Schizosaccharomyces pombe: one gene and its partners. Changing the gene in region 1 together with any one later gene gives a genetic interaction. Each region holds a gene or a part of one and is shown on either strand. Other genes may lie near its edges. The genes, in order: sgo2, rec8 and hrk1.

What was found.
Region 2: of sgo2 (region 1) and rec8, changing one enhances a phenotype caused by changing the other (phenotypic enhancement), as found in Schizosaccharomyces pombe (one study listed by BioGRID).
Region 3: mutations in sgo2 (region 1) and hrk1 impair growth when combined (synthetic growth defect), as found in Schizosaccharomyces pombe (2 studies listed by BioGRID, with this or other methods).

What each region holds. Positions count from the first base shown.
Region 1 is NC_003424.3:3,711,134-3,722,526, reverse strand, and holds sgo2 (shugoshin Sgo2), read right to left. Parts: upstream 8,386-11,393; 5' UTR 8,341-8,385; coding exon 8,304-8,340; exon of another isoform or gene 8,266-8,303; coding exon 8,226-8,265; exon of another isoform or gene 8,176-8,225; coding exon 7,943-8,175; exon of another isoform or gene 7,900-7,942; coding exon 7,832-7,899; exon of another isoform or gene 7,780-7,831; coding exon 6,214-7,779; 3' UTR 5,942-6,213; downstream 1-5,941. Other genes in the region: rpl42 (60S ribosomal protein eL42), read right to left, coding at 1-18; SPOM_SPAC15E1.02C (uncharacterized protein), read left to right, coding at 771-1,217; bud6 (actin-interacting protein 3), read right to left, coding at 1,564-5,721; protein kinase domain and HEAT repeat protein Ppk3, read right to left, coding at 8,767-9,148, 9,208-9,380, 9,431-9,559, 9,600-10,460, 10,513-10,614, 10,666-10,806, 10,856-10,981. UniProt on the Schizosaccharomyces pombe protein: Involved in chromosome cohesion during mitosis and meiosis by preventing premature dissociation of cohesin complex from centromeres after prophase, when most of cohesin complex dissociates from chromosomes arms.
Region 2 is NC_003423.3:2,560,898-2,571,493, forward strand, and holds rec8 (meiotic cohesin complex kleisin subunit Rec8), read left to right. Parts: upstream 1-8,040; coding exon 8,041-8,096; intron 8,097-8,105; exon of another isoform or gene 8,106-8,139; coding exon 8,140-8,327; exon of another isoform or gene 8,328-8,379; coding exon 8,380-8,476; exon of another isoform or gene 8,477-8,528; coding exon 8,529-9,778; exon of another isoform or gene 9,779-9,818; coding exon 9,819-9,913; 3' UTR 9,914-10,096; downstream 10,097-10,596. Other genes in the region: ATP-dependent RNA helicase Dbl8, read right to left, coding at 1-2,230; guanyl-nucleotide exchange factor Muk1, read right to left, coding at 3,029-3,851, 3,900-4,285; oxidative stress transcription coactivator/ribosome recycling protein Oxs1, read left to right, coding at 5,537-6,070, 6,179-6,268; atp7 (F0-ATPase subunit D), read left to right, coding at 6,804-7,331; origin recognition complex subunit Orc1, read left to right, coding at 10,265-10,596. UniProt on the Schizosaccharomyces pombe protein: Involved primarily in the early steps of meiotic recombination. Required to ensure reductional chromosome segregation.
Region 3 is NC_003424.3:1,029,738-1,040,174, reverse strand, and holds hrk1 (haspin-like kinase Hrk1), read right to left. Parts: upstream 5,880-10,437; coding exon 4,413-5,879; 3' UTR 4,183-4,412; downstream 1-4,182. Other genes in the region: efm6 (methyltransferase), read left to right, coding at 526-1,509; nuclear bridge Ish domain protein Les1, read left to right, coding at 1,993-2,059, 2,114-3,342; SPOM_SPAC23C4.04C (uncharacterized protein), read right to left, coding at 3,667-3,778, 3,832-4,142; coronin Crn1, read right to left, coding at 6,008-7,409, 7,459-7,547, 7,589-7,816, 7,865-7,917, 7,960-7,993; histone acetyltransferase Hat1, read right to left, coding at 8,482-8,757, 8,814-9,177, 9,249-9,364, 9,454-9,672, 9,734-9,837, 9,888-9,945; ssd2 (succinate-semialdehyde dehydrogenase), read right to left, coding at 10,378-10,437. UniProt on the Schizosaccharomyces pombe protein: Serine/threonine haspin-like protein kinase involved in cell cycle regulation. Acts in chromosomal passenger complex (CPC) targeting to centromeres by phosphorylating histone H3 at 'Thr3' (H3T3ph).

The DNA of each region.
Region 1 (11,393 bases):
CTTGGGAATGTTCACCATTTTTTGATACTTTTATAAGTGATGGTTAGATGGTGGTGATTAGGAACTCGACAGCATAAAGTTTCTCTGCTAAACCCTTGTTGTACAAATGTGACTGTTTCTTATTCCTCTAGGTTAGGTTTACTTGCTGCTGTAATGTCGTTCAACGCACTGTTCGCAATAGTGTGAACAACCGATAGCTACCCTAAAAGTGTTTACTGCGTAAGATCAAGCTTGCAATATATCAAATGTGGGCCAGCAAACAAAATTTCTAAGCTACATTGTTTTAGTGCTGGAATTTCAATCCAACTTTGATTCTTCTGTGAGGGCTTTTTAATGTAAAACATGCGAAAATTATTGTAGTAAATTTCTATTTTTAATCACTAGTTGTTACCATCGCTGCACTCCAAATCTTATATTTATCGACTTCACTGATTTCTTTATGCAAGACTTGGCACAGCATCCGAACAGTATGAGATATTGCTCCACCAAAAGTTTAGGAAAATGATGTAGATATCACTATGTAAATAGCGAAATAGCGACTTAAAACAAGTCAAGTCAGGCTAAGCAGTATTTCCCAATTATCATACTTCATCGACACGTCAAAGTGACGCCCCAAATTAATCTGTACCTAAATCCATAATTGGACCTTGAGTATACTATATATTTAGTGGTAGCGCCCTTAAATCCTTTAATTACAAAACATTTATTTTACAAAATATTCACATTCATATTAATCTTGTTCTAACTCAAACTAAATATTAATACAAGAAATGCCATCCTACACTCACATGCCGTATGTACGCCCTAGTGCAATTCTCTTGGGGATTGCCTTCGACCATGCTGCTTCTTTCCTCGTTTATGGACCCCTAATGGGCGATATTTGGAAAAGGGCAATGAGCACTGCACCTCACGTCGAATATGACGCTGGAAGTAAAACCAAGAAGGTTGCTACAACTTATGTTAGCAATTTCCTTAGTACAGCAGTTCAGTCGTACTCGATCGCTGCATTGTTGCAACTTACAGGCACTGTGACACTCAAAGGTGCCTTTTTCGTGGGTCTTTATGTATTTGGTGCATCTGGATTGCCCGACGTAGTCGACTATATGTTCACAGAAAGCAGAGGTACCCCTTACATCCTTGTCAAAACTATATCTTCTCTAGTGAAATCAGTAGGCTTAAGTGTTGCCTTGATCGGTTACGGCGTACGTCGTATTTAAGATTCCGATGGTTCAATATCTGATTTTTAAAACGACAAGTTAATCAAATTTTCTTTAATATCTAAGATTTCTTTTCTGTGTTTATCTCATATTTGGTTAGACTGTAAGTGAAAATAGTATCCCAATAGTGGTATTGGACAACATCGAAGCTTCCTTTGCTTGTTATAACTGTACATATTAAGGTATGTTGTAACTCTATTCAGCAAATCCTTGATTCACAAGATTTGCATCAGTCCTAGTGTAATACAGGGTAATTTCTCTCGTAACAATTAAAGTTAAAAAAAGTAAAAAAAAAATACACAAACTGGCATACAATCATTGCCAAATCGAATAAAACTTATGCACATTAAGTTAGGCTTGTCTCTTCAACATCTTCGGCATCTTCGTAAGCGTCATAGTCATCAGTGGATATCGTATCGTGTCTTACATGATGAGTCACTTTACTCATCTGTACATTGTTATCGTACTTAAGATCAGTATTCTCAAACACTGTATCACTAGAACTTTCGACTCTGTTATCGGAGTATTTAGAAGGGGTTTGTTCATCATCTGTTTCATGAGCTGTACTACGGACGATCGGCGTCTCATATATATTAAAATCAGGTTGCTTCAATGGCTTTGGAGTTGCCAATGGACTGCGTTCTAACATAAAATTCTCTGTATCCACCTGTGAACCGTAGTCTATTTCTGCAACAGTTGCTTTAGCAGAATTATCAGGCACAACATGTTCGTCTAAAACAGTGTCACTCGATTCCTCAATGAAACTACCTCCATTTTTTCCATTGCGTTTCGATGACACAAAGTCATCCCATAGAATTTTACGTACTTTTTCATCTTGAATTGTTCGAATTCGATCAGCCTCTTCCGCTCCTCCGATCTTATTCAACTTTTCGTTCTCAACAAAAGTTTTAACTTCTTTTGAAAATTCATCTACTCGTTGCAACAGTCGTTTTTTCTGCAACAGTTCACTACGCTCAATAGCCTGTAGTCGTGCTTCACTGTCGGGTTTTAGATTTAGTACTTCTAGCTGAATTTGATCACGATAACCTTTAATCTCAGACTCAGTGGCAGTTTTCAAAGTTAAGGGTTTGCTTTTAATGGAGGACTTGGCTTGCAATTCAGCTATCGCGGAAACATTTGAAAGGACAGTGGATAATGCGGAAAGATCCCTCTTAAGATCTGATATAAGAACAGTATGACTATCCAGAAATTCTTGCTCTTGTACAATTGCATTTAACTCTCGTTCCCATTGCTTCTTCCAAATTGGAGTTACTTCCTCAAGAGATCTTTCAAGGGTTTGAATCCTTTTTTCCAAGTATGCGCTTTCCTCATTTAATTGAGATGTTTGATCTAAGCCTGGTCGTACTTTGCGCAACAGCACATCAGAACGCATAAGTTCAATCTGATCATTTACCTCATCAAACTTTTCAACTACGTTTTTAACTTCCCGTTCAATCCTGTCCTTGCTGCTTAAAACAAATCCTCTTCCAAATTGGAAATCCAGAGATCCCTTTTCATTAAACGCATTTATCTCTTTCTTAAAATCTTTTATCTTTAACGGAATCCTGGTGAAGAAAGCAGCCGAAATCTGTTTAAGAGAAGCCAATTCTAGTTGCATATTCTTAACTTGTTGGTAAAACTTGTGGTCGATACTATCAGGGACAGAAAAGTTATTTGCCAATTTTGAATGGTCTTCTGACGATTTGAGTGCAGCTGAGTCGTTGGTGTGATTAGTTGAAATATTTTGCTCAATAGCTTTCAAGCGCTCAAGAATTTCTGTAAAAGCAGAAGAAGGACTTTCATGAGTGGTAGTATTAACATGATCATCCAGAGTGTTTTGTGCAGATGAATGTTGAATAGCAGAGACCTCACCGGAATGGAAATCTTCCCTCTTCTTGTTAGCATCTTGCTCTTTAAACATAAAAGAAACTAGTGACTTGTATTTAAGGTCCGAGAGATCTTCTAACAGATAACTTATCTTAGTATCGGGGTCTTCAATATTTAGTTCATAAGAATCGCCACTAAATGAAATTTTATATACATTACTGAAAAGTTCGCCCAGCTCATTTGCGTTTGATAGAGGACTTTCAACCTTGACTTTTCGGGTCTGGTTATTGTAACGCAAAAAATAGTATTTTTCCGTATCTACCCCCAACGGTTTTGGGAGTGCCTTTTCAGTCTGAGAAACAACAGGAACCTTTTCCGGCTTTGAAATAGGAGTTTCACTTGGAGACCCTGAAACATTAGGTGGAGCAACGGTAGGTAAAGGAGAAATATTGGAAACAATCGTAGATACAGGAGCAGTAGAAAAAGCGGTAGATAGGTGGACGGCCTCGGGAACGATGGGAACATTAGTAGTAGGAGAAGTAGCAGATACAAGAGCCGAGGATGGCGGCTCCGTTATTTCAACAGGAGAGGCAGGTTTCTTAGGGTAGACATCAGATACAGTGATAGTAGATGAAGGGTCGTTAATTAATTTGGCAGATGCGCCTGTATTTGGAGTCGATTTATCTTCTGAATCCTCTTCAACCTGTGTCGAGTCATCGTTAGAGATTACATAGCCTTTTGTATCTTTCTCGCTCTTAAACTCATCTTCAGAACCAGACTCTTCGGATGAATATTCATATTTATGGAATTTATAAGATGGTTCATCTTGTTCAGCATTGTTTTGTTGTATAAGTCTTTCCAGCTCTTCTAAGGAATCGTTTTCAAAATTTGCTAAACCTCCTTTTGTATCTGAAGTGCTTATACTCGTACCAGATTCAATTTTTTCAGAACTAGATATCACCGGGGCTTCTTCCTTTCTTTCAGTTATTGATTCAATTGCAGTAACAGCAGGTTCTTTTTCTGCAATTTCATTTGAAGCTGCTTCAGGGACGCTACTGCTAGGTTGTATTTCCTGTTGAGTAGATGAAACTTGGGGTAATGAAAGTTTACCTTGTAAGCTTTCAATTTCAGAGGTATCTTCTGAGGATTCTGCTTTTTGAATTTGTCTTTCGAGGAGTTCCCTCTGACTTGTGGCATCCGTCTCAACCTCATCAGCGATATCTTCCAATTTTGGCGAAGCAGCATATTCTTCAGTTTCACGAATGGAATTCGGCGAATTCAACGTAGAACCATCATCTGCATTAAATTGTTTTTTGTTAACAGATAGTGTTGAAGAACGACCTCTGGGCAATAAAATCGGAGTACTAGATGGAAGGACTGTAGCAGATAATGGGCTATTAGGGGAAGAGATAGTCCTTGATCGTTGGGGAAGTGGCGGAGCGACTTCTCCGTCATTGATGGTTGAGCTACTTAATATTCTATGATCAGACACGCTTCTAGTTACATCAGTTGCACCCGGAAAAACATTACTTCGATTTGCTTGACTTATTCTTAAAGAGTTAGAACGAGAGTATACATCCTTTTGTACGAAAGAACTGGGGCTTTTTCGAAGAGAAGGGCTTTTTAAAGAAGTGGGTGTTCCAGGATCTAATGATTTAGTCAAAGAAGGTGTTCTAGTAAGTTTTGGTGAAAACTTTCTATCAAAACTTGTATTTATTGTAGGTCTTCTTGAAAGCTTATTTGAATCATGACTATCTTGTCTAACGATAGATGGCCTTTTAGATACTTTGGGAGACGGTGAGTCCATTATATTGTCTGGCTTTGAGGAATCACGAAGAAAGCCTCTGACAGATTCAACAGTGATATTCCTCAAATTCTGAGAAGATCCCTCATTGTTTTGCTGGTCTTTTACCATGTGTGACAGTCGTTTGCTAGCTCGGCGTTCGAGAGCATTTGTCTGCTTCAATGCATCAAAGGCTCCAGGAGCACTTAATGAGGCACTCGTAGTTTCTTCATATTGCTTTCTCGAATCAGGATTTCTAAATGATGATATGCTTCCTTGGGAAGAACCACGACTATTACGGCGATTAACATCGTTATCATTCGCTTCACGGGTCATTTGAGGCAAATTTGACCTAGATTGATTTAATCTGGATTTAACCAGAGATTGCTTATACTTCAAGCTTTGTAGGAGGTGCATAACCAGCTCCCTTACGTTAGGAAGATTGGTCTCCAAAGCATCAGAAGATGGTGTTTTTTCCAGTGTTTGCTCTAGGACTGATCTGAGTTCTAGCGGAAAATCATTTAAATCTGCAGTTTCAATACCAGCTTCATGAAAGGACTTGGTTGTCTGAAGGAATTCCCCTATTAGAGTAACATAAACGGATGAAACAGCACTATCATTAACTGTACCTTTGCTCCAGTTTGTTAAGCTTTCAAGAAGCTCCTTTGTTACAACTAAAAGCTTCATTATCGATGTCTCGATTGTACTAATTAAATGAGACGCTGCATCTCTTGACAAAGGGCTGTTGGACGCGCCATTAGGTACAGGCTTCCGATTTGAGTCGGAAGGGACTAATCTTCGAGAAAAATTTGCTCGAGATTCAGTCTTTTGTCTTTGCATTGAATGATTGGAAGAAAAACGTTCACGAGACATATTATCGCCGTTATTAAACATTGGTCCCAATAGATGAGTAAAGCAATGATCCTAATCGCAAAAAAAGGATTGAAAGTTCAACTTAAACTTAAAACAATAAACATAAGAGAAAACACAAAACCAATTAGGTTTGTTATATACAAAACATAAGAATATTGACTTATTAGACTCAGTTGCGTAGGTTAGTACTTCCACCGAGGGCGATCGAGGTACACTAGAAATGGACTACTTGATGAATGTGCTAAGGTACATAGTAAATTGAATTTGTGAGGATTGCTAAGTAATTTTATAATATATTTACACACCTGTTTATTGTATTTAACTAACCAAACCATATATTTGTACATAACGTTAATGACAAGAACAAAATGTGAATAAACAAAGAAAGAAGTAATATGAAATACCAAAGGTTAACTCCCAAAATATTGACTTTTTATTTCAAATTGACGCATACCTCCACTTAAAAAATCTGAACCAACTAAACGATGTCGAAAGGTATTTAATTACATAATATTACAAATTAAGGGTTTCGGAGTTTTCAAGGGTTACTTCTGAAGTAGTGGGTGCTTCAGAAGTAATGTTTGCGGTTTCTGTTTTGGTAGCTGAATCATTCTCAGAGTTCTTAGGAGCACGTCTCGTTTTTTTAGCTTTTACATGATCTGAAGGTAAATCGAAATTCCGTCTTAATTTCGTCCTTAATCCAGGCAAAGCGTAATTAACCTTTTTCCGTTCCCTTCGGCTCCTTCCATCAGGTTTTTCATTTGGCTCATTGACTACTGTACTTTCTTCAGAAGTTTCTTGAATCCGAGCTTTTCTTCGCCTTTTCACTTTTGTTTCTCTTCGCGACTGAGTTTTCGTCACACGATCGTTCTCATTAGGGGATTTCAAATTCGTTACAGATGACAGAAGTTCCAAATTATTATAGGAGCCCGTATCGTTGGTAGCAAAGGAGCTACGTGACGGCTCAATTTCGTAAGGTCGATCTTCAGCATTCAATATTCCTTGTAGCGATGGCGGACGTAACGGAGAATTATTGGGATGGGCTATTGAAAATCCATTTGAAGATGGAGGTTCACTTGACAGTCTCATGGGAGGATTTCGAAAAAGTGTTAAAATTTCCCGCTCTTCGTCGGTAAAAGATTTAGGATTCAGTCCAATTTTGTTAGAGTCATTCATTATTTCTACAGAAAATTTTTCGTTCCCATTAGTGACAGAAGAGTCTACTAACCCGTTTATTTCCCTTGGAGTGTCTGTACGAGGAGATTCAGCAACAGTCATATTTGACAGAGAAGTCGTCGTAACCTGAGGCCCAACATTCTCTTGTGAAGTTAATGAATTATGCGCAGTATCTTCAGGCGCAAACTTCAACGATATGGAGCTATTTAAATTAGGATCTGAAATATGATGCCCATTTCGGTTACTTTTATTTGAAGATTGCACAAGAAGGACAGCAGAATCCAAAGAGTTTGCGCGATTGGGGCGACTATCGGTCTCCGATACATAACCGGTAACATTGGTAGCTGCAGAAGCCAGATTAATTTGTTTATTTTGAATGTCAACGTCCCATTTCCGTTTAGTGGGTGTACTTTGTATTACTGTATCAGATTGTATTCTGCTATGAAAATGAGCTTCTTGTGAACCCTCATTTTCTTCTTGAGCAACTCCATTTGCATTATCTTCTTCGGTTCTTCTTTGTGCAGCTGCTTGATTATTAATTTTGTTGGATAATGATTTTGGACTAACGATTTCGTATTCATGATTTTTTTCCTGAGGAGCAGAATCGATAGATTTATTTTCAGAAGTAACCGCTTCAACTCTATCTTCATTATTATTATTTACAGGTTTCGAATTGGATAGATTGTAAGGATTTTCAAAATCAGCTGGGAGGGCTTTGCCGGATTTTAGCTGAGGTGCTGATTGCGTGTCGGAAAAAACATTAGCTTCTCTTTTTTTTTGTTCATTTATAGCAGTTTCTCCGTCATCAATTATATTTTCATCCTCTATTCCACTTAAATTTCGTAAGGAAACATCATGCTGAGCTTGCTCAATTATTTCTTCGGTATCTTTCACGACGGATTCCTTTCAGACGTTAGATAAACATATCTGAAAAACATAATACGATTCAACTTACCTCGTCAAGGTCTTCAGAATCCGTATCGACATCGTAAGCTAAGTTAGCCTCCACTGGTTTGAAGGTGTCTGTGTTCAATTAGCTAAAAACGATATGAATTCAAACACGTACCTTGTATTTCTTGCTGACAAAGACTTAATTTTGATAAAAAATTATCTGTTTCTTCATGAAATCGATTAAGTAATGCAGCTAACTTTGTTTTGTTTTCTTCGTTTTCGTTTTGCACGGTTTCGAGTTGCTCTTCCAAGTTTATCGCTGTAGTCCTCAAATCGATATTTTCCGAAAGCAACCGTTCATTTTCTAACTGCAATTCTTTAATTCTAATTGATTGTGCCTTGCTTATTCTTTGTATGTGTTAATTAATTATTCAATTCCAACAAAAATGTATGCGTACCGTATAATTTCCTTATACTGTCGAATTTGCTTTTTTTTCACTAATTCATCAGTTGAGATTAATATAAGTATCACGTACAGTCTTCTACGTTCGGGGAAAGAGATGCTTTCGACATTATAAATAGAAAATCCCGATGTACTTCATTGACCACGTTCCCGGTGGAGGTTTAGTACTTAAACGCGGCTGTACAGCAGTATCATTATCAACAAGGTGTAGAGGTGCTGGATAGTCGAAGTACGAATTATTTGACTACTAATGATACACTCTTTGAAAAGAACATTAAAATCCTTTTACATTTACTATACTTTGAATTTACGAATAGATAGATAACTAAAGAAAGAACTACCATTCACTAATCCTTTCAGTGGTATTAATAAATGTTCAAAGAGAAAAATAATTAGCTATTAAAAATATTAATTATTAAAAATCAAGCTTGATTGAAATATGTCAAAACGAGTAGTACATGGAGTACTTAGTCGACATGTGATTTAGTCGTGAATTAATCTTGACCACGAAAAATTATTAATTAAATTCAATCAAATTATAACCCCCAACTTTCCTCTACGTTATTTTCTGTTTCCTCTTCGTCATTCCAGTTTTCCATCCAAGATTCGTCTATCTGTTCCTCTGTTTCAAAAAGAGGATTATTGAATTCATCCTTAGAGTTTTCAGTGTTTCCAACAACTCTACTTTTTGAATTTTTTTTTTCTTTTATTTCAGTGGTATCATTTTTTAACTCAAGCGACTCCTTTTTCATATCGATAGAAGGCGAAGGAGAAGCAGAAGATGAATGAATAAATTTGGACCAAAAAGAACCATTAAATTTTGCCGGTGCGGAAACATTTTCTTTTTCCCCTAAATTAAAGTTTTTTATACGGCTCAAAAATTGGTCAGTGACATCCTCAGCTGTTCTTCGTATTCCTCTAATAACGTCAAAAAGTTAGTAATTCCTAAGTGGTATACAGGTTCAAAAAAATCTTACTCGTTTTCATCAATTAGTAATGGCACCACCGATGGGAAAAGTTTGATGGCCACATCCTTTGTATCAAAGTAATTTTGAACTGAGAGGAGTACTTTTAAGGCTGCCTCTCTAGCAGGAACAAATGGGTCTTTAAGAGAACGTGATAAAGCAGCAGCTAAAACGGGTTTTCGCACCTAAATCTGTTAAAAATAAAGTCCTAACGTTTAGTTCTTCTTAGTCTTACGCTGGCATCTAAATATTCAGCAATTTTACCTAGACAAATGGTACTGTTGGTACGTAAAGTAGGATGTTGGTCATTTTGGACAACCGCTAAGCTTCGTAGTAGTTCATTATTCAATGTTTTCTTCGAAAGCTGTATACTAATTAGCAATTTGTAAGATAAGATGGCTTACTTTTGGTGCTATAATGGAAAAAACAACAATAGCATGTTCTTTTAAGGTGGGAGAATTGGAGCGCACAAGGTTCGCGAAAACTGAAAAGCTAGTGTCTTCATATATATTCTTTGGTAGCACGTCGGGATTGTTAATGATTCCGGAAAGTAGCAAGCCTCGTATGGGAACGCTTTGTTGTTTCAAAAGAGACAATAACGGTACTCCAAAGTCTTTTTCTATATCCGGTCTTCCTTTTACAATTTGAGCACATTTGAATAGAAGCTCAACGACGTCCGAATGGGTGTCAATCGATAATAGTAGAAAGAGGATGTTTAATACAACCTTTTGTATATAGTTTTTAGGAATTACTTCTAGCTTTGACGAAAGAAGTTGTTTTAATTTCACTCTATCTTCCTCTTCGTTTATTCGAACCTCGGACAAAAGTTCATATAACGTAATCAAATGTGTACGAAAAAACCCCCCAGGACGCTCGCCAAGTTTTAGAAATTCTGAAGCTAATAACTTTTGCTTTCCTTCCACATTCAACAGTTTTTTTGCAGAAACAAATATATTGGCTGGAATGTTTCCACGCTGAGATAAGTCCCCTGGCGTTCCATTATAAAGATGAGAAATGAACTTTCCCAATTCATAAGAATCCAAGTAAATGAATGAAGCACTATTTAATGTTGAAGACTGAATTTCAAACGGAACCAACCGACTCCAGTTCAGAATTTTGTCATGATTATCCTTTATAAATTGTGGTGAATCACCTGCTAAGAAAAAGTCGCCTATTATCCATTCATCTGCACTATTAAGATAAACAGAAGACATTTGAAGGTTTCCATGAACAATATTTTTATCATTGAGAAATGACAATGCAGCCTAAACACGTTTAAATTAGTTTTAATCCACATTTTGAACTCAAATTACATACCGAAACCCTCCAAAGGCCGTAAGTTTTTATTTCCGCAGATAGTTCATTCAGTTCAGTTGTGACAGGTCTTACAGTTTCCGTTGCAATGTACAAGTGAGTGGACTGAACTATTAGTAAATAGGAAAAATATGTAAAGGCTTAGATTAGACTTACGCTTTTATAAGTACTTAGATATTTGATTATACAAGGATGACGAAGGGTCTTCATTGTCTCACAAGCTCGGTCAGCAAGTTCAGCCCATTCAGGATGAGTTGACAGAGAAATAGAGAAAACGCTACACGGCTGGGCAGACTCCTACATTAAAATTGTAAGTACTAGAATAAAGAAAAGCGTTGTCTCTTACTCTAATTGATCCCGTTTGTAGTGTCCATACAGAATTAGAAGAAAGAGGGATTTTCTCATTTAAGTCATATGGGAATTGAGAACCTGCTTTTGCAATAAAAGAAGCTGCTGATTTTATAAAATCCATTATTTTAAAGTGTAGTAAGGGATCAACCTCTTTTAGTCGATTACCATCGAGTATTGATGCCGCAGTGTGGAGGTTGTTGTCCCACGCAAGCTAACCTGTAAAAGTGTTTTGAGGGGATGGGTACGGATTAAGAAGCAAAATTGGATTATTTACAGCTACTTAAGGTTTACAAAGACGACGTTAGTTTTGCAGTTTTTTTGAATGTTGGTTTGAGATATTTTTGTACTGGAGCACTCTTTGTAAATGCTTAAATGCCATAAATTGAAATGAAGTAAGTGAGAGATTCTAACTTCATATAATATTTCCCTATTTACTTATACAGTACTTTAATCCCACTGCTAAAAAGGTAGAGGAAAAATACCGCCTTAATAAACAAAAGCAAGATGGCTGTTCTACAACGTGTTGTTCGATT
Region 2 (10,596 bases), on another chromosome or scaffold:
TATCGTTATCCGATAATCCAAAAATGAATCCGTTAACTTCCTCAAAAATATTAATGAGCATATCGCAAAAATCAAGGGTATCCCGCATTAAATCAACTAAATTGTCCTTATCATGAACTGGCCAAGTAGGAAGAACAATGAAAAAATGAGTAAAGAATTTCCATAACGATTCCCAGAAATTCTTAAGGGATTCTTTCTTTTCCACTTGTTTTGCAAAAGTCGCATCCTTAGAAGTTAAGCCATCAACAGAGTCAAAAATAGTGTTTATAATTAATTTATTAAAATAAACAATGTGCTTGGCTCCTCCAAAGTTTCTGACTTTAAGCCACTGCAGAAGAACATAACATGAAGAATTTAGTGTATTTGAAAACTGGCTTCTCAATAGCTCTCCTATAGTATCAACAACGCTGTCAGAAAGCGAAATAGATTTAATAATTGAGATACTTCCTGTTGAGATCTCAAGAATTGGAGAAAAAACGAGTGAAAAGATTCCACGAAAAGTTAAAGGATTTGAAACCAATTGGGTTTGTGCCGACAAATGCCAACATTGAGTCTGAATAAGCATTTCAGAAAATGTTGCAACAAATCCGTTTAGTGCATTTTCGAAATCACTTTTGAACGGAATGTCAACTTTCTTAGGCGGCAACTTATCAATCAAGCAAACTGTAGAGCAAGCACGAAAAACAATACGAACCATAAAGAACTTCTCCTCTCGAAATACGTTTTGCAAATATACCCAAAAATTTTTAAAAGACTCACTTACCGATTTGATATTCAAGGGTGGCTTTCTATTTCTGTCCAAATAATGGCAATAGAATTGCTTCAAAATATAAAGATCTAAATTCAATCGGTATTCAAAAACTTTCTTAATAAGCCTCCATTCAACAGACTCTTCATTTTCCAAGTTTAGCAAACGAAACAGCTCGTCAAACTTAATCGCTAAAGTGGAATGTAATTCAAATACTTTGTTTTGTAAACTTTGATCACTATGGGGGAAAATCATAAAATATTCGGAAAACAAAACTGAAAATATGTCAGCAAGTGATTGAAGTAACTGAACATTTTTGAAACCGACTTCCAGTTCCTTTTTATATTGCATGGTGTAATTAATCAAAATTTTGTTAATTAATTCAACTTCATCAATGATTGAAATTGTCTTCAAAAGAGAGGTAGCCCATTCAAACGGATTCTCTGCCTTTTGGTCGTTTGAAAAATTGGATGTATTTTCTTCTGTCCACCTCTTATAAGCATTACCATTAAAAATTTTATCTATTACTTCACTGGGAGAAATTTCTGGCGTCCAAAAATTACGTCCATAGCAGTATAACAAAGAATGTAAACATACAAGGAAAGACGGACATAAATTAGTATGGTCGCTTTGCAATCCCGAAAGAATAAAATCGGCGACATTGAAATTTTTTCCTGTAAGTCCCCTAAAATAAAGATGATCAACATGCTTTAACAGCAACGATAAACCTTTCAGAAAAATTTGCATCTCGTTCTCATTTTCTTTCTTCTGGTCTAAAGAACGAATTTCCTGAAGAAGGGGACCCTCAAGGATTTTAAATTCATTATCGGAGATTGTTTTTACATCACTTAAAATACTGCAAGCCCATCTTCGGAGCTCATCATCTCTCGAGAAGAGAAGACTTATGACACCTGGCACTAGGTTTTTCGAGAGCCGAAGAAAACCGGACTCAAGAAATCTGTTTCGGAACAAGGGAAAGATTTCTTTATTATGTAAAATACGAGGAGAGTATAAGATTTCGTAGAAGGCGCATAGTATAGGTTTAGAGGCCGAGGACGTGTCGATTTTAGGCACTGTTTTGAGAACTTCCTGTAACCGAAAAATGTCCCAACTATAAATTTTCTCCATTACAATCTCAAGAGTATTTGGGTCAAAGTGAAAAATGTTTAAACATAGACTTTTGAAATCATCTAAAGATTGGTGATATTTAACTATACATTTGGGGCATAACTGAAGGCGTTCGTTCAAATGTTTTTTGAACCATACCAGATACTCGTTATCATTTTGAAAAGAAAATAGAAAAAGACATTCACGAACTGCTACTTGTAATTTAGGATCACAAACCCAATGAGGGTTTTGTCTGTTAGTATTTAGGTATGAAAGCGCCAAATGCAAAACTTTATTGGACCCTTCGAAAGATGGGTGTTTTTGATTTTCCTGAATTTTTCTTATTAATCTATCAAAAGCCTCGTCATTTTCCATAACCACAAGCTAATGCTGCATTCTCACTCTCGAAGTAGACTTATTAAAGCGCGACTGCAATTTTTCAAAATCTAGGTTTCTAAGGAAGTAAATTACACTATTCACTATAAACATTTAGTGCAACCAATCATTTGATGTCCACACAGCACTCGATTATCGCATTGAAATAAAATAGCCTTAAGAGAAATTTTAAATAAAAAAATGAACGTATATTTTGAAAGTGTATATAAATTCATGTACCAAAATCACGCTTCTTTATTGTAATTAAGATATATATGATTATCCGAAATATATTTTAAACATTACTATATATAATGTGACAACTTAAAAAACTTTCTTACCCATTATAATCCGAAGTTTGTGATTGTGTGTTTAATTCCTAGTTTCAAATATGACTATTTTCTTCACTGAGCAAAGAATCACAGTTCATTTTATTCAGTATATTTAAAAATTTTGCAGTAACATGATATATTCGTTTCATATATTTCCTTTGTAAGGATTTAATTCGCATGCAATCTTTGCGTCAACATACAAGCTTAAATCATTTTTGCTAGTTCTTTGTGATATTCATACATTAATAAAATAGACGTCAAGGAATAATCAATCCTTGTTTTGAATAAAAATTTTCTTTTAAACTTTTAAGCTGTTCACGAATTGACCTGCAACAAAGAAAAAAAAAATATTGATCAATCATATAACTTTTCTATATGACTTTGTCTCTCAAATGAATCAAATAACCATAAACAAAGCCGAAAACCAACTGGATGTGAAATTTTTAAAGAAAATATTCAGTCAAAATTACTGATTACCATTTTTCTCAAAAAGCAAACGTGCGAGGCGCTTATAGTCAGAAAGAAGAAGTTCAATTTCACCGATTTTAAGATCGCTAGCATCAGAAACAGTCAAAAAGCGTTCCAAAGGTGGGTCGCCCACGAATTCTACAGAATTGGAAGAATCTTCTGAACTTTTGGCAGTGTGATTGGCTACTTTACTAAGTAGAGAGGCATAAGATTTCTCAAGTGCTAGTCCCAGATTTCTTAAATTAGATAAAGATGAGCGATTCACAGGGTAGGGTTCTGCACTCGGATCATGAAGCGAGTTAGAGGTCGAAACTGTTTCGCTATTAGCTACCTCAAGTGAAAGAGGATCATCAGAGGGTTGAATTGACGATTGAGTTAAAAGATTTGGACAAGCTCGAAGAATAAAAGTAAGGGCTGCCTCAAAAGTTGTGAGACAGTATCTTTGCTCTCCGCTTAAAAAATCTGCATTTCGAAAGCGTAACACAAAATTCAGGTGCGATATTAAATGAAATCCGGGATAACAGAGAATGCAATATATGGTCAAATTTAATAAAGAATCAGCATTCAATTCTTCTTGAGGAAGTTGAGAGGCATTCAATATACTTGAATTAACGGTCATAAAAGTGTTTATTTTCGATCTAGGTGTGTGTTGCTCATCGAGAGCAAAAAATGCTTCAGAGACTTCATGTAACCGGTTTGTAAGTTTTTCATCATCAGGTATTGGAATGCAATTGATAAGTTCTTTCTTTTCTTCAGAAGCAATAAATTTTTTTAACAAGTCATCTTTGGCAGCATCCGTACTTGTAGATAAACAGAAAATCCTAACACAATATTAGTAAACAGTTATTGTAGGCGAAGTAATCACATACCGATCATACAAATATTCGCAAACTATATCTTCAATTTGGTCCATCCATTCATCTTTTTGGTTCAGCAAGTGTTGTCTCGCCTTTTTCTGAGCATCTATTTCCTCAGGAAACAAAAGAGGCACATTTTGATCTTTTGAAGAGGGTTGAGGGATAAGGGTTGAAGCAATAAACTCATCGGTATGCTTGTAAAAGTTTTGAAATGCTTTTGCTAGTTCTTCAGGCGAAAGCAATTGAGGGTGAACCGGACTAACTAGAGAAGAGATAAACTGTATCACACATGCTTGTACAGTAGTTGGAAGATTTGATGCAGAATTTGGGAGTTTGATGTCTTCTTCCTTAGGCTTATTTGTATATTTAACAGCTCTCCAAGAATTCAGAAAGCTCATCGAAAGGAACTTTTACGAAAGGTGATCAAAAAGTTTAATTTTCAAAAATAAAATTAAACGAAAAAAAATTCTATATATACATGTAACTAAGAATATGTTAGCATAGGGTCTAATTCAAATTTTCAAATTTATATCAGATAGGATAAACAGCAATCGAAGGAACCGAGTACGAAGTATTCGTTGAGAGTCAAAAATATAACAATATATCCCTAATAGAAAATATACATCGTTTTAAAGCTATAAATGCTAGCAATTCCTTCTTTACCTTTGTCGTATGACAAGTTTTCAAGTAATTGTCAAAATATAGAGACACGAATTAAAAAAATAAGAACGTTGATTAAGAACTTGATATAAAATGAAATAATAATCAGAGGTAATGCTTACTTGACTTTAACTTATAAACCCTTCAAAATAGAGGAACAGTGCTGGTAGAACCAAAATTGATATGCATTCATGTTTCGGCATAATAATAGCGTATACTCGTTAAGAAACCGTATACTGTAAATGTAAATAATAGGATGAGTAAATTTAAGTGCTAAAAAAAATAATTTAGAATTATAGATTCATTAATTCCTTTAACAATTAAGATGATCGGAATGTTAGTTTGTACGTTATTTGTATCGAAGATGAAGTTTAATACTTATATAGATTACAATAAACTAATCAATACTTGAAAGCAATTGTTCACTGTACGATATTGTTGAATAATTTGGCAAGAATAAGCATTTAATTTGATGATATATTTTACTTTTTCAAACTTCATGAAATACACATCGAAGTCCATAACAATTGTCATGATATAATATTGTAATTGAAGAGTATGATCAATTTACATCGGTTGACTTTGTTTCTCTTTTTAATGAGTTATCACTGTTAAGAATGCCATCATGTCATAAAAAGGATTTATGGTGTATTATGCAGTGTCTATACCATTCAATATACCCTTAGCCTGCATCAAGGCATTTAAGGAAATAAATAGTAGCAGATTTCCAATTAAGAACTTTTATTTTCTATTTTAGTGATAAAAATTCAGTTACATACCAACGTTTGACGCCGTTTGTTCAGTGTTATCAATACACCTTTGTAAATACACTGATAAAAATAGGGAGATATAACGAGACATTCACTTATAAAAATTATCAGATCAGATTATTAATCCATCCTTCGTCGCCTTTCTTATAACGAGGCGGCATATAGAAATCACCTGTTGTTCAAGTCATTCAAATCTCACATACCATTAATAGCCTTGATATGGGGAATCCAAAAAAGAGAGCAGAAAAGGCCGAAGCGGCAAAATCTAGAAAACAAGACGAGGAAAAGAAAAAAAAAGACGCTGAAGAAGACGAAAAATGGTCCAAGGGCGTCAAAACTAATAAAAAGGAGCAAGAAGCTGAAAAACGAAAAGCTGCGTTGGAGAGGAAAGCTGAACGTGAACGTTTAGAAAAAGAAGAAATGGAGAGTCTTCCATCTAAAGGAGGAAAGGGGTCAAAGAAGGCTGCAAAGAAGAATTCATCTTTAGACGCTTTCCTCAACGAAACCCCTCAGACAGCTTCATATAGTGCCCGCAATATTGATGATGCTTTGGATTTGTTAAGTTTAAACAATTCATCGTCCAAAGATAAAATTGATCGTCATCCTGAACGTCGGTTTAAAGCAGCTTTGACAGAATACAAACAATCTCGTTTGCCTGAACTACGCAAAGAACAACCGGGCCTCCGTTTAAACCAATATGAAGACATAATGTATAAAGAATTTCAGAAACATCCGGACAATCCTTTCAATAAGGTAAGAAGCGATAAGGGTACATGCATACTCTTTTTGATGATGACCATATCATGTATAAACCCTAAACAGGAAAACCATTGTAAATATCATTTTTACTAACAATTTCAGATGAATGTGAGCTATAACACTAGTCAAGATGAGGTTGAACAGCTTCGTAAAGCTCGTAAAGCAGAATTGGAAGCACGTTTACGCGAGTAACTATAGTTATGGCAATATGTTTAGAACTTTTCTTTTTCCTTTTTACTATGGTAATTCTTTTATATTATTTATAAATTATCAATAAACCAATTACTAAATAATTTTTCTCGACATTCAAAAATGAAATCTTAAATTAAACATGAGAAGTACAAAGTGATTTGGTGATACACCGGTAAATCAAAATTTACAGCTAACTTTGAATTTCTATTAGCACAAGAATGAGTGGAGCGTATACTAATTGTAGGGCACAAGTTCTATTCTAACCGCTTAATTTTTTTTTTTGTAGTAATTTTGTACTTGTTGCTTTCATTTACCCAATTATATGATATTTTTTGAACCATTAAGGAAGCCTACTGCTGAAAGCCAAACCACCTGGCAATATGGCTCTGGCAATGCTAAATCATCCGTTCCCCAACTACCCCCATCTCTTCAACACATAACCAAAAGCAGGAAATATTTATAAGACAGTTAAATTGTTTAACAATATAACTGTTATTTTATTGAATTTTGAATTTTTTCTTCTTTATTTACGCAAATGTCGAAAGTTGCTAGCGCTGCTGGAAAGGCGATTGATTGGGCTAGTGTAGCTAGCAAGCTGAAGCTTGATGCCGCAACTGCTTCTGCTATTGCTAATTTTCGCTCTCGTCATGCTCAGGCAGTTGCCAAATTGGGTACATTGCGAGAGCAGGCTACCACAGTCGACTTTGCTACCTATCGTAGTGTTTTAGCCAACAAGGAGATTGTAAATCGTATTGAGTCTTCTATGAAATCTTTTAAACCTGTGAAGATTGATTTAAATTCGCAACTCAAAGCGATCAATGCATTTGAAGCAAAAGCTAGCGAGGGTGCTAAGAAGAATGTCGAACTTGTCAAAGCTGAATTACAGAATTTGAGTGCTACATTGAAGAACATTGAACAAGCTAGGCCTACTGAAGAAATTACCATTGAGGATATGAAACAAGCAGTTCCCGAAATTGAGAAGATTGTTGAAACAATGGTTACCAAGGGCAAATGGGTCATCCCAGGCTACCGTGAAAAGTTTGGTGATTTGAGTATTATGTAGTTTGCTCCATTAATGAAACATTTTATAACTAGCAATCATATGTGTTATCAATACAAATAAATGTCAGTTGAAAGATAGATAAAATTTCGGTATTTATGAATGGTTTCAAGCAGTATGTTGAAATGTTTAACCATTATTATTAAAATTCTTTTATTGAGTTTCAAACTTCTTAGTACAACTTGAATGACTTTATTTAACCTATTATACAAACATCGTTCACAGCATAATAGTGCGTTAAAAATTTCCACGATCTTTTAATAAGCTATGTCAACTTACGTTAAGTTTTGTTATATTCGTATAATCTCTATTCGATCTAGTGGCACAATAATGAAATTGCTTGTACAATATTAACTATGGATACCTTGGTAGGAGAGCTCAAGATTGAAAGGGCACTAAAATCACATATCTTAGCTCAATTATTAATCATTAGCTTCCATTACATTGTGTTTTGACTCAATCAAAGTAATGATATTTAAATATTCAATCCTTACTTAGATTTTAATAAGACAATATATATTAGCAATGGAGACTTCACTGCAGTATACGTTGGATAACATGTGCCGAGCTGTTAAGTATTCGTTAATAACGATTTTATGTGAGATTAGCTCATATGGTTTAACAATGCGGTATTTCTATGCTTGAACTTCAAATATAATTTTGACGCGTTTAATAAGCTATCTGGTGAACTAACGCGTTCCTGTCTTTCACCATGTTTTACAATCAAGATGTTCTTACAAAGGAAAAGGGAGGAATGGGAGTAATTTGGTATAGATTTACTACAAGATAATAATAAAGCTAATAATTATAGGCTCGCTGCTACATTGGGTTCAAAACATTCATTACGCAAGCTTCACAAGAAAGACATTATGTCGGTAGATATCGATGAAGCTTGCGATTTTGTTGCCTTTTCTCCAGAACCGTTGGCACTACGATTAAGTAGTAATTTAATGATTGGTGTAACGCGTGTATGGGCCCATCAATACTCATTTTTCCATTGTATGTGATGACAGTAGTTTAGGCTGGCAATTTTCTTACTAATTATGCTTAGCCCAAGTTTCAACTCTTCATTTACGTGTTCGAAAAGAATTGGACCATTTCACTTCAAAACCGTTTAAGAATATCGATATTCAGAATGAACAAACGAAGTACGAGTACTATTGGATAATATGACAGATATTCAAATTGCTAACCTTTTAGCCCAAAGCAGTTACTACTCGCAGAAGATCCTGCATTTATCCCTGAAGTTAGTCTCTACGATGCATTTAATCTACCTTCTGTGGATCTACATGTTGACATGAGTTCTTTCACTCAACCCAAGGAAAATCCCAATATTTCAGTTCTTGAAACTCTTCCAGATTCTACTTCTTATTTGATCAATACCAGCCAAAATTATAGTTTACGAAACAATGTTTCGAGCTTTGTTTACGAGGACTCCAGAGCTTTCTCTACAGAAGAGCCCCTTGACTTTGAGTTTGATGAAAACGGGGATATCCAGGAATTGACCAAGGGCACTATAAATTCGGATCCGTCGCTACAAGCTGCTTCACAACATAGCAATCTTGGTTCCGTTCAAAGAGAATACAATAGTGAAGAACAAGAATCAAGGATTCACATGTTCGAAATCGATGAGGACGTTTTACCGTTACCCGTTCCATTGCAATCTGTTATGGATTCAGAGCATAATGAAAATGAACCGCGAGCTTTAAAAAGAAGAAAGGTCCAAAAACTGCTGGAGCCAGATGAAAACATAGAACTGTCTACTCGAACTTTGTCCCAATGGAGAAAGAATTATGTTGAACGAATGATTGCTTTGGAAGCAACAAAGTATGTTCGTCGTAGAGGAGCTTCTTCGGCAAAGAAGAAAGAATTGAACAAATTCTTTGATTGGGAATCTTTCCATCCTCTTTTAAAACCATGGATTGAAAAGCTCAAACCATCAAACAATACTCCCTCTGAAATTGACGATGTATTGAGGAACATTGATACTTCTGAAGTTGAAGTTGGACGGGATGTTCAGGGTGAATTAGGTTTAAACATACCTTGGAATACTTCATCTCGATCAAACAGTGCCATAAATTCTAAAAGCCATTCTCAAACTGGTAGTGAGCATTCCACCCCCTTGCTTGACACTAAATATAGGAAGCGCTTGCCGCATAGCCCATCGATGCCGAGTAGGGTAGAATTTCTTCCTGCCTTAGAATCAAGTCAATTTCATGAAACTCTGAACTCAGAACTTTCATTACAACTCTCTGATGACTTCGTACTATACAAAAATACTCAAGAAGAAAATGCACATTTAATGTTGAGCATGGAAAAAGAATGCGCAAACTTTTATGAGTATGCAAAAACGGCTATCTATGAAAATAATGGGCGCATAACATTTTCAAGCTTATTACCCAATGATTTAAAACGACCTGTAGTGGCCCAGGCATTTAGCCATTTACTGTGTAAGTATCACAATCAAACCACGAACTAACAAAACAATAGCACTAGCAACTAAGTCTGCATTTTTAGTTAAACAGGATAAACCATACTCTGAAATTAGTGTCTCTTTAAACCTAAAAAGCACCGATGCCATTTGAAACTTTTCACATGTTAAACTTAAAATTTTTAAAACGTTGAATTTGGGAATTAAACCCTTTGTTGAAGTTGTCAAAATAATTGACTATGTAATAACATTTAAATAGTATAGTATAACACTTTTCTTAGATTAATGAATGATAATGCTAGCGGATAAATAATTAAAATTAATTAACTACTTACCAAATTTATCTAATTATTATATCTTAAAATTGTGGTATATTATTTGTTGGCTGTTGTACATAGCATGACAGTAGCCTCTATAGTATACGAGTCTTGTTAGTCCAGCACTACAACTCAGGATAACTTTGACCATTGCAATGTTGATAAACTAGTGTTGAACTTCTCTTAATATGCCTAGAAGAAAGTCATTGAGGAGTCAACTATTAATTAACGGCATTGATAAAAGTCTGCTATCTGATGACAGCGCTGACAGTTCTGATATTGACGAAGAGGAAGTTTACGGTGTTTGGACTGAAGAGCCCTTTCAAAAAGAGGCTGGACGTTCTTATTACAGATCTTTAAAGAAAAACGATGTAATATATCGCGTTGGAGATGATATTACTGTACATGATGGAGACTCAAGCTTTTATCTGGGGGTAATTTGTAAATTGTACGAAAAAGCAATTGATAAGCATTCTGGAAAGAAATATGTTGAAGCAATTTGGTATAGTCGAGCTTATGC
Region 3 (10,437 bases), 2.7 Mb from region 1:
ACAACAAAAAAGTAACAAACAAAAGGAAAGTCAGCAAAACACATAATAAACCAACATGTAAAAAAGTGTTAGTGCAATTGCTTATGCCCTCAAATTTGTAATTGAGTGTTTATAAAGTTCATTTCCTTATGTGAATATTCGTATTATCAGTTATGACTCGTTGCTCTGCTTGCGACTTAAGTTTGCTACCATGCGTTTTTCTTACAACAATTCAGAGATTATTTTCATGATGATTGCTACCGGGTTGCATGAATTAACAACTTAGTTCAATTGTTTTGCTTTTACGATCAGTTTACCCTCTCTCATATTGCGGCGATAATCTGATATTTCAGAGAATTTTAGTTTTTCAAATTGCGAAAAAAAAAATTTTTCAACCAACTTGTATTTCATTGCTAGTGGTTTATTTCATTGATTGGTGAATGTGGTTTAAAGGGAAACTGAACGTTAATAGATCATTAAAAAAATTTCTGTAAGACCCCCTTTTCTTTATTTTTCCAAGGATTTTTAAAGTATTTGGACGCTTGAATGACTTTCTATTATATTAGAATTTTAAGACTCCAAGAAAAGCTCGAAGAATCCTTTAAATACGCTTTACGAGTGGTTTTTACGATAACTTCTGATCTGGGCGAAGTTTCATATCCGCAAGATGCAACCGTAAGGGTTGAAGCATTGGATAGACAACAATCTCACAGTCGTATCACAATTTCTAAGCAATGTGTTTCATGGATAGGGAATGGTCACGCGGCTGAAACGACTTTGTATTTTCCTGCTAGTCACCAGCAAATTCAATTGACGCTGCATTTAGAAAATCAGAATTCAATCGTTGATTCTATACACATAAATGCCGATACTGTATTACCAGTTTGGAGTGAAGCTTTTTCACCGAAATCTACTTTACCTAATATGGTATGGCGGTATATCCAAGGCCCAGAAAAAAAGTCACCAAACGATGGTCTCTGGTTTCTCGAACAGATGGGTAACAGTATTGCTAAGCACTTGTGGGATGCCGGCGTAGTTTTCTCAAAAAAGATTCTTTCTGATGATTGGCATTATAGCTTTTCCAATAGAAAAGACATCAATGTTTTAGAACTAGGCTCCGGATGTGGAATTGTTGGTATAAGTATTGCTAGCAAATATCCACGTGCTCTTGTGTCAATGACCGATACAGAAGATGCGATTGAATTTATGGAAAAAAATGTTGAAAAGAATAAGTCTGCAATGAGCAACAACATAACTTCTGATATTTTAGTATGGGGACATGACATTCCTCGAAAATTTCGGCGTCATTGGGATTATATTGTTATGTCAGATGTCATGTACAATGAATCTAGCTTTTCTGATTTGGAGGCAAGTCTTCAGGAATTGATGGATAAGAACACAAAGTTATATATTGCGTACAAAAAAAGACATGACAATGAAAAAACTTTTATGAGCAATATATTGGGATGGTTGGATCTTGTTTACGAAGAACGTGGTCCAATCACTATTTACATTTTACAGAAAAAATAAATTTACTTTGCATCATTTTCATTTTTCTCTTAGGATGCGTTGCTGAATCTGTCAACTTGCGAATCTCGTAACTTTTTTGTAGCAGCATGTTTATATTGAGATGTCTTTTCGGGTTCTTATACACAACGGTCTATAAAATTTGTAGCATCGCATAAAACCAATTTTGCATCTAAACTATCAGCGAACTTGGGAACCCATGTAAACTCTGCAAAGTACATTTTCTGTAAAATTGAATTTCGGCTTCCAGCTTTTTTGAATGGTGTTATGACGACTGGCGCGAATTTAATGATTTAGCATATTCTTTGATAAAAAAACAACTCAACATTATATAAAGCAGTTTCCTTTATTTATTCTGCTTTATTTACCCTGTTCTCTGTATGCCTTGAAACTGGCTCGGCTTACGTCATATAGCAGCGCATACCAAGTGTAATACCCATCAAGCATCACGCACCATCCATTCACCCAAACACATAGAAAAATACAATGCAGCCAAGGTTTCTTCTACACGGAGCGCTTTTGGCATTAGGAATACAGCTTTGTCTGTCAATTGGTAAGTGTTGAGTTGCTTTTCTACAGAAACAGCGGCTGACCCGGCATTGTCTAGGCAAGATTACAGGCCACATATCGTCTATTGAAGCGACTGCAGCTGATATACATGATGCGCCTAGTACAACTACGAAGTATGTTCAGCGAACCGTTTACGCCGGTAGAGAAAAGGGGAAAATAGGAGGACCAGCCGATTCTTGGCCTCAACGAAAGCTTGATGACTTTCTCCAAAATCATGGGGTAAAGTCACTGGACGTTCCTCCTATCGAGACTCCTTCACAGTTTTGGAGGAAGCCATTACAGTATGTATCAAAGGTAACCGACAAATGTAAATCTTTCTATGAGAAGGAGAAGAATCATGCTTCTCATAACGCACAAAAATTGGACGTTTGGATTTTCAATTCATGGACCAACTCCGAGCTTTCTCGATGGCTTATTAAGAATAAGTACGAAGTTCCAGAGCCTGGAACCCGAGAGCAGTTGTTGGAAACAGTTTTCCAAGCATCAATGGGCGATGCCATTTCCACCAATGATGAGTTGGAATCCTGGTCAAATAATCTACTCCTTTCTATGTTGGATCAGAAAAACATTACAGTACCAATTGGTGCATCACATGACGACCTAATCGTCTTGGCTAGACGTTATTACGATATTGAGGAAAGAAAATCGCAAGACAAAGTGACAAATATTACAGATAGCCAGCCTGCACCATATATGAAAGAAATTATTCACTTATGGTCAGACGGTAGACTTATTGATTTTTTGCGAGAGCGAAACATTCCTATTTCTGTTCTTTCACCTCGGGAAACTCTTTTGAAAGAAGCATACGCTAACCGCTTCACACCGCGTGTAATGATTGCCTCCAACGTACTAGATGGATGGTCGTCTGAGGACTTATTAGATTGGATTTGGAAGTACAATAAACGTGGTTCCATATTTTCCCATGTTGCTTACAACTCGCGTCATGAACTTATTCATGCTGCTAAATTATTTTATATGGATGTTGCTTCTGAATGGAGCTCTTCTGACATGGCATCGCTAAACGATTCTTTATACTCACATCCTTCTGTCTCCAAACAGTCTACCTGGACCGAAGAAGAACTCAAAGAGGAATTGGAGTCATTTGGCGAACTTGTCCCCGTTCCATTTTCATCTACCAAAGCTTTTGAACGATTACTTCCCCACCTGTATTACTATTTACGAGGTCCTGCCTTTTTGAACAGAATACATTATTGGCAAACATTCCTGGGTAACTCGCTTAAAAGGGCTTTTGTACTTTCGCAGTAAATACCATTTGTGTCGGTAATGTACCATTGAAAATTGACCACTCGAAGTTGGAGCCATGCCTTGTTCATTAACTGTATATTTCTAGTTTATTTTTTTTTGTTGCCATTTATTATAACAGATACTTAACTCAGATTTGCTTTTTTCTCATTTAGTACTAGTTTATTAAAAATAATAAAATGGGTAGTTTTACGGAACAGTTATAATAATCTCTACAAAGTTACTTAGTATGTAAGTTTTTTTTGCAGAATATTAATGAGGTTGAAGATTTCTCATGAAACAAAATCGAATATGATGAGACAAAAAATGTTTTAATATAAACCCTGATCAAAGTTTTTCGTCTTCTGTTGTTACATTGGGGTCGATAAGTTCGCCGTTCTTTACCTCTTCATCACGTTTTGTAGCTTCAATTTCCGAACGCAATTGCTTATATTCTGGGCTATCATTCCCCACTATAGTTAGCCATTTTTATAAATGTTTGATTCAATTTACCTATTTTTATCCCAAAGTGGTTTTGTAGAATAAAACTGAAAGATTAGTATTTTTATTATTTTGAGGGATTGAATTCTCAGCGCTATATTCAAGCTTGGTTTTTTAATTTTTGAATTATACTTACAGCAGATGCAACACCTAATGTGCAAGCAAACAATAAACCCATGGGACCGCCACGACTCCTTCCGCTCATCATGGTGCACTGTAGTCGGAGAGTCCGAATCATAAACTGGGAAATAGAAAGCCATATTGGAAATTATATAATAGCGACTACAATCATCATAGGATTTACTGAGGAAATAACAAAACATGTACACTCATTTGTGATTTAAACAGTTAATAATTCTTATTTACTTATAAGTTTTGCTAGTCAAAGATATGTAATTTTTTATGTACAACAAAAACCCCACATAAAATGGTCAACTTTAAGAAAAAAAATAACCAAAAAAGTTCACTTCGACGTCCAAAATTTAAAATATAAGTACATATGTATAAGATTTTAGCAACGCATACCATGAAAAAGAAAGGAATATTAAAAAAATGCGAACGCCGTTCAATTTTTTAGTATGCAAAAACCATAATTAGTATTTTTGACGGACCCAATTGAGGAGAGAAGTTGCAGATGTAACTGTAGATTTAGAGCGAATCGAGTCTTCGGCCTGCTGGAACTGCATTGTTTTAACAGGGTCAATAAGCCTAAATATTTGCTTAAGACGACTTCTCATAAGCGTCTCAGTCTCTGTTAACGGCGATGACAAGTTCTTTTTGTGTAAAAGTTGATGAATTAAATAATGCAGCCATAAAACGTTTGTAATGGGAAAAAACTGCGCCCATCTTCCTTTTGTCACTCTAGACATTAACCTATATATATCAAATTGGTAGTCATCTACACCGTTAAACAGATCGGGGTCGTTAAATTCATTGTAACTAATTATACCCTGAGAATACGATGCTCGGGCTAATGTAAAATCAATCAGCGTAACTTGAAGTATGTTGTCAAAATCATCAGCCTTATCTTGTGAGCCGGGAAAATCGACACTTTCAATGTCGTCAAGCGATATTTCATTTAAAAGAAACGAAACTTCCTCTTCACTCCGATCAGCTTTCCGAATAAGAATGTTTCCCCAATGTAAATCTCTATGCTCAAACTCATAACGAGTTTCAACTAAAGAAAGAATTTTTAATGTTTCATAAAAAACCGACCAGCACTCTCGCCAACTACGGAGCTCAAAATGTTCCAGATCTGTTCCTGAATGATCAAGACATAAAACACAATAAAGTTGCGTTGATGAATAGCTATCTGGTCGATCGTTCTCAGAACCATTTTGCATAAGATACCGATCCCATTCTTCTAATAAAAGTGAAGGATAAGTACCTTTAACGACAACTACTTGATGAAGGTTTGCAAAACCGTCGACTTTTATCCATTGGCTAATCTGTACTTCATTTAGGACATCAGCATATTGAGCTTGTCCGTCTTCTCCAAACGGGATAACTTTCCAAACAACGGGAACGTCATCAGCATTGCTGGCTTGGTATACTTCACTATAACTTGCTTCGCCAATTTTTTGGATCTCAAAAGTCTGAGACTTAACAAATTGACTGAATGGAAGAGCGTCTTCTTGCGCTACTATTTGGAGGAGCCGATGAAGTGGATCTAATTTGGAATTATTTGCGGGTTTTCCGGATAAAGCAACAGAAGATGACAAATTTACAACCTCTTTTTTACTGACTACCGACTTTGATGCATTATCCCGAGGAGAAGCCGGTATTATGACAGTAGGTACCAGGTTTTGATTTCGTTTCGCCAATAACTCATTTTCTTTGTATGAACCTTTTTTTAAGAGAATGTTCCAAGATAATAATGAATCTTTTTTCGGTTTAGAGTGAATATGCTCAAGGTCACTTCTTTCTTGGTTATTAAAATTTTCAATGTTCCGAGGTTTCAAAGCACAAGGCCGTTCATCTAAAGAAGCCCAAATTTCAATATCTTTATTAATATATCTACGGTTCTTTCCATAAGTTTTAACTTTTGAACGACTTTCCATATCTTTTCCTACATTTGTAAATATTGAGGTAGTAAGGTACGGAGGTGAGATGGAGAAGGCATGATGTCCGGGCTTAGTGATATGTTTAAAAAAGCATTCTGGACAAAATAAAAAATGCACAAAAAAACTTAATTACATTTTTCTTTAATTGCTTCTGTTAATTTAGCCAGCTTATCCTCCAATTGGGCAATTTTCCAGTCTCGGATTGCGAGTTCTTCCTCATATCGTTTCTCAAAACCTTCGAAACGTTTATTGAGATCGGCCAGATTGACTGCTGAAATATCTTTCTTATCTTTTGAAACATAAAAGGGTTCTTTCTCTTCAACTTTCTTACTTTCGGCAAGAGGAGCAGCTTTGGGTGCTTCGTCAGAAACTTCCAATTTCTTTTCCTCTGATGGTTCTTTCTTTACATCTTCTGAAAAGGTAACAGGGCTACTAGCTGGTTTCGGAAAAGATTTTTCAACAGGTGTTTTCTCACGCTTGGGCTGGGTTACAGTTTCTTCTTTCTGATGATTATCCTCATCACGTTTCTTCGATGGTTCTTCTACTTTTGATGCCGAAGGAGTAGTTGGTTTCACCTCCGGCTCTTTGGAAGGCTTTTGTTCTTCCGCCGATTCTTTCGGCTTGCTAACTGGCTGAGCTTCGGGCTTTGGTGTCTCAACCTTCTCTTCGTTATGTTTTTGTACCTGAGCACCAGCTGAGGGTACTGTAGCGGAAACAGCCTTTTCAACAGTACCTTTAGACTCATACAAAGTAGACATATCTAAAAGATCAGGCTGAGCATCTTTCCCACTGGCCCATTCTTCAGCTGTTAAGCTTGGTTTACCAGATGGGGCTGGAGGGTAAATATCGCTTTGGAAACTTTCAGATCGGCGAGGAACGATGAAACTTATAGGTTCAATGATAGAATCGTTCACGGACTTATAAGCACGCATAACTTCGTTTTCAGAAACATTAACTCCGCGTTTTGGCAAAAAGGCAATGCCTCGTTGGGGATCAACGGACTTGAATTCAGATAAATAATGGAAAACATCGTTTTCATATTCGTAATAGCGAATATTACCATCACCTTTACCTGCTAGATATATTACCTTTGTTCCATCATCCCAGAATGGCATAAGGATTCCCGAACCGGTGTCTAATGTGGTAAAACCACCTATCGGTTCAGACAGATTGGTAGGGTCCCATAAAGCGATTTGACGATCACTCATTTTACTGAAACCAGTTGTAGCAAAACGATCAAGGCTCCCGAGCCAAACGACACGGGGATTTTTAGCACCTGCATGACCATTTCCAACGGAGACTGGTTTATCAGTACGAGGGTCCCAGACGCGAACTTTCTTATCTCGAGAAGTTGTTACAAGTCTGGTACCATCAGCGTTGAACGACATAGACTGGCACATTACATCCATTTTCAGAGATACATGGGCTACACCCTTCTCACAATCCCACAACTTGATAGTATTGTCTGCACTAGAAGATGCCAAAACATTCGCTGCAGTGGGATGATATTGAACAAGACCAACTTTACTATACAAAAAAGTCAGTAACTAAAACCCTAATGCAATGTACGACATACCGGCTATGGCCCTTTAATTCAGCAATTGGATGAACATCTTCATAAGGCTCCATAACAGTATAATCTTCTGGTACTTTCCATATCATAATCTAATTCGTTAATACATAAATAAAGTCAAATAGCAGGATACCTTAGAATCATCACCGCCGGATGCTAATACTTGATCATGGAAGGGATTCCAATCAGTATCTAAAACAGCCGCAGTATGGCCCCGAAACAAATTAACTTGATCGGGAAGCTTTCCTCTTTCGTTTAAAGGGATAACTGCCAATGCACCTCCAGCTCCCGCATTCCAATTAACACTGAGGTAAAAGGGGTTCACACTCAATAGGTTAGAATCCCATGCATTATTGCTAAGCTATTGAAGACAATTAGTAAATTTCAAACCATTAAAGTATCGACCAACCTTTATGTTGTCGTAGCAAAGTTCTTTTTTGCAGGTTTGTCCAAAGATATGTCCTAACGTCAGTTAATAATTATTTACTCAAAAAGCATGCGTACTATATTTACTAGCTCTCACAAATCTTCCACTCATTTTTGAAAAAGAATAATTCCTTTATAAGATCGAATGAGAATTTGCTAATTGAGCTAACTTTATCCGGGGTGTCAGGTAATGAACAAAGTCGGGATCGGAATAGGAAGGAGGACGGATGAGAATGACAAGCACCTAAAGTTGTACTGGTCGTTGAAAATAACCAATATTATTGATAGTAGATATTAAAATATTTAAATTTTGGAAAAAGCAGTTCATTATGAGGAATTGTTTGAATTTTTATAAGGTGCCTTTATAGATTTTATTAAACTAGATATCACACTAAATTTGCAAAATATATACAAAATTTATATTATTAAAATGATCACTGTTTCAAATGTCTTTAATCATTTCAAGCGAAAGCTTTCAAAAGCAAATTATATAAAAAGTAATTGCGTCCAATAGTGTAATTTAGTCGATTCTCATAACTTTTTATGCTAATATGCCTTCAATATTCTCAAAGTATTTCAGATCTCTAAAAGTGTTTTCATTTAGGAAGAAGATTGAGCAAGTTTTTGGCGTTTTCGAGGCGAATCTTCCTTAAGCTTGGGTAGCTTTTTGACAATCTGTTTATACTCATCAAACTGATTTTCATAGGCGTTATGAATTTTTTCAATACGTTCGGACTTATCCAACTGTAGCAACACATCAAGATTTTGACGAAAAATCCTTTCCTTTATTCCTAGTCTAACAGATTTCCGCTCCAATAATGAAAGCTTTTTTAGTTTCGTTGTAAATGCTAATTCACAACAGCGTGAGAATTGACGCTAAAAAAAGACAATTAGTAAGTTGCATTGCATGGTAAATTTAGCAAATTACGAACCTGGGTTAACTTTGTTTCAGCTATTTTCGAGTTTATCCACTGCCTAGAAAGAGAGGGATGAAAGTCAGGTTCTGAAAATATTCCCATTGATAATAATCTTTTATAGTCGCAATGGTCTCTAAGGCTATCAAACGCTTCCGATGCATCCTCAACTGTGAAGTCTAAAATTTTAGGATTTTTCAAAAAGGTACTAACAATAGCATTGTACAATTGCGAACCGTGTCCTTGATGTTGAAAAGGGGGTAAAATCACGAATTGTGAGATACGAGCTCGAATACCATCGTGAATTAATTTGTCCCATTTATAATATTTGTATACAGTACAATAACCACGTAAGCAATAATCATCTTCAGTAGTCTCGTAACTTATTTTTGTTAATAAAACCTCGATAAAAAGGTAAAAGGAAAGTAGACGCGTAGAAAATAACAAACTTACAGTAAATATACCATCCATCTTGGATCATTAAGGTCAATAAAAGAGCCCCCTTCAATAAAAAATAAGGAAAATATTTGCAAATGCTGCATAATCTCACTAGCTTCAAGAACCGTTGCCTATTAATACATTACGATTATTAGCCAAAGAACATATAGGGATATTCAATAATTGAATACTTCTCCAATTGAAAGGTAATCGAACATACTTGTAAAATCTTGAATGTTTTTCCATTAAAGGAATAGTTATGAATACTATTTGCCGAATGAACGTCAAATGAGTTTCCTTCAACCTTAATGGAACGATCTTTTAGATAAGTGTTTAATGTTCCTTCAATATCAGTTGGTTCCACTCCTGAATCTGGTGCTAGGCGCTCTGAATATGAGATTTCCAGTTTTGGGACCATCAATGGGCATTCATAGGTTATCTAATAACTGTTACTATTTGCAATCAAATTTCATGACTAAAACTTGCTGATTTAATCTTACAGTGACATTTAGATCTTTATATCCATAAATAACCTCAGCATCTCCAAATATTGCATATGTATTGCTAGGATGGTATTGACAATCTTTTTCATGCTTTTCGTTTACTGACAGGTGTTAACACAAGGTAAAAACATTATAATTTAACATAGCATACCTTGTACAATTTCTATGCATTCATTGGCATTATGTACCCATTCATCAACAGCACTCATCACTGCATACGGAAAATTGAATACCTGACCCTATTTCAAGTCAAACAACAAAAAATACATGTGTCTAGTTGGAAGTAACAAACTACAAGGCGACGCAAAATTTCACGTGCTACACCTGTTATTATTAAAAAATATTTACTATTATATAGATTTCTAGCTCCAGTATTGCCAATTTTAGAACCTACAATTCTTTATAACTTTTCAGATTGCTCAGAACAATAACTACAAGTATAGATTTTCTGACACAACAATCCATTCTTCATCGATGACCCACGATGTTCAGGTATTAAATTTTTTTGATATCATTAAACTAAAATACGATTTGTATCGCAAACATGTAAAACAGTCATAACATCAGGATTTTTTAGTCATTAACCAAAAGAGGACATCATTGCTTGTTCAATAATATGCAGCTTTCTAAAGCGAAAATCCTTAAAGAGTCTTGAGATTGATTTCCTTAACCACCATAAATTCTTGAACGCCCAAACGACC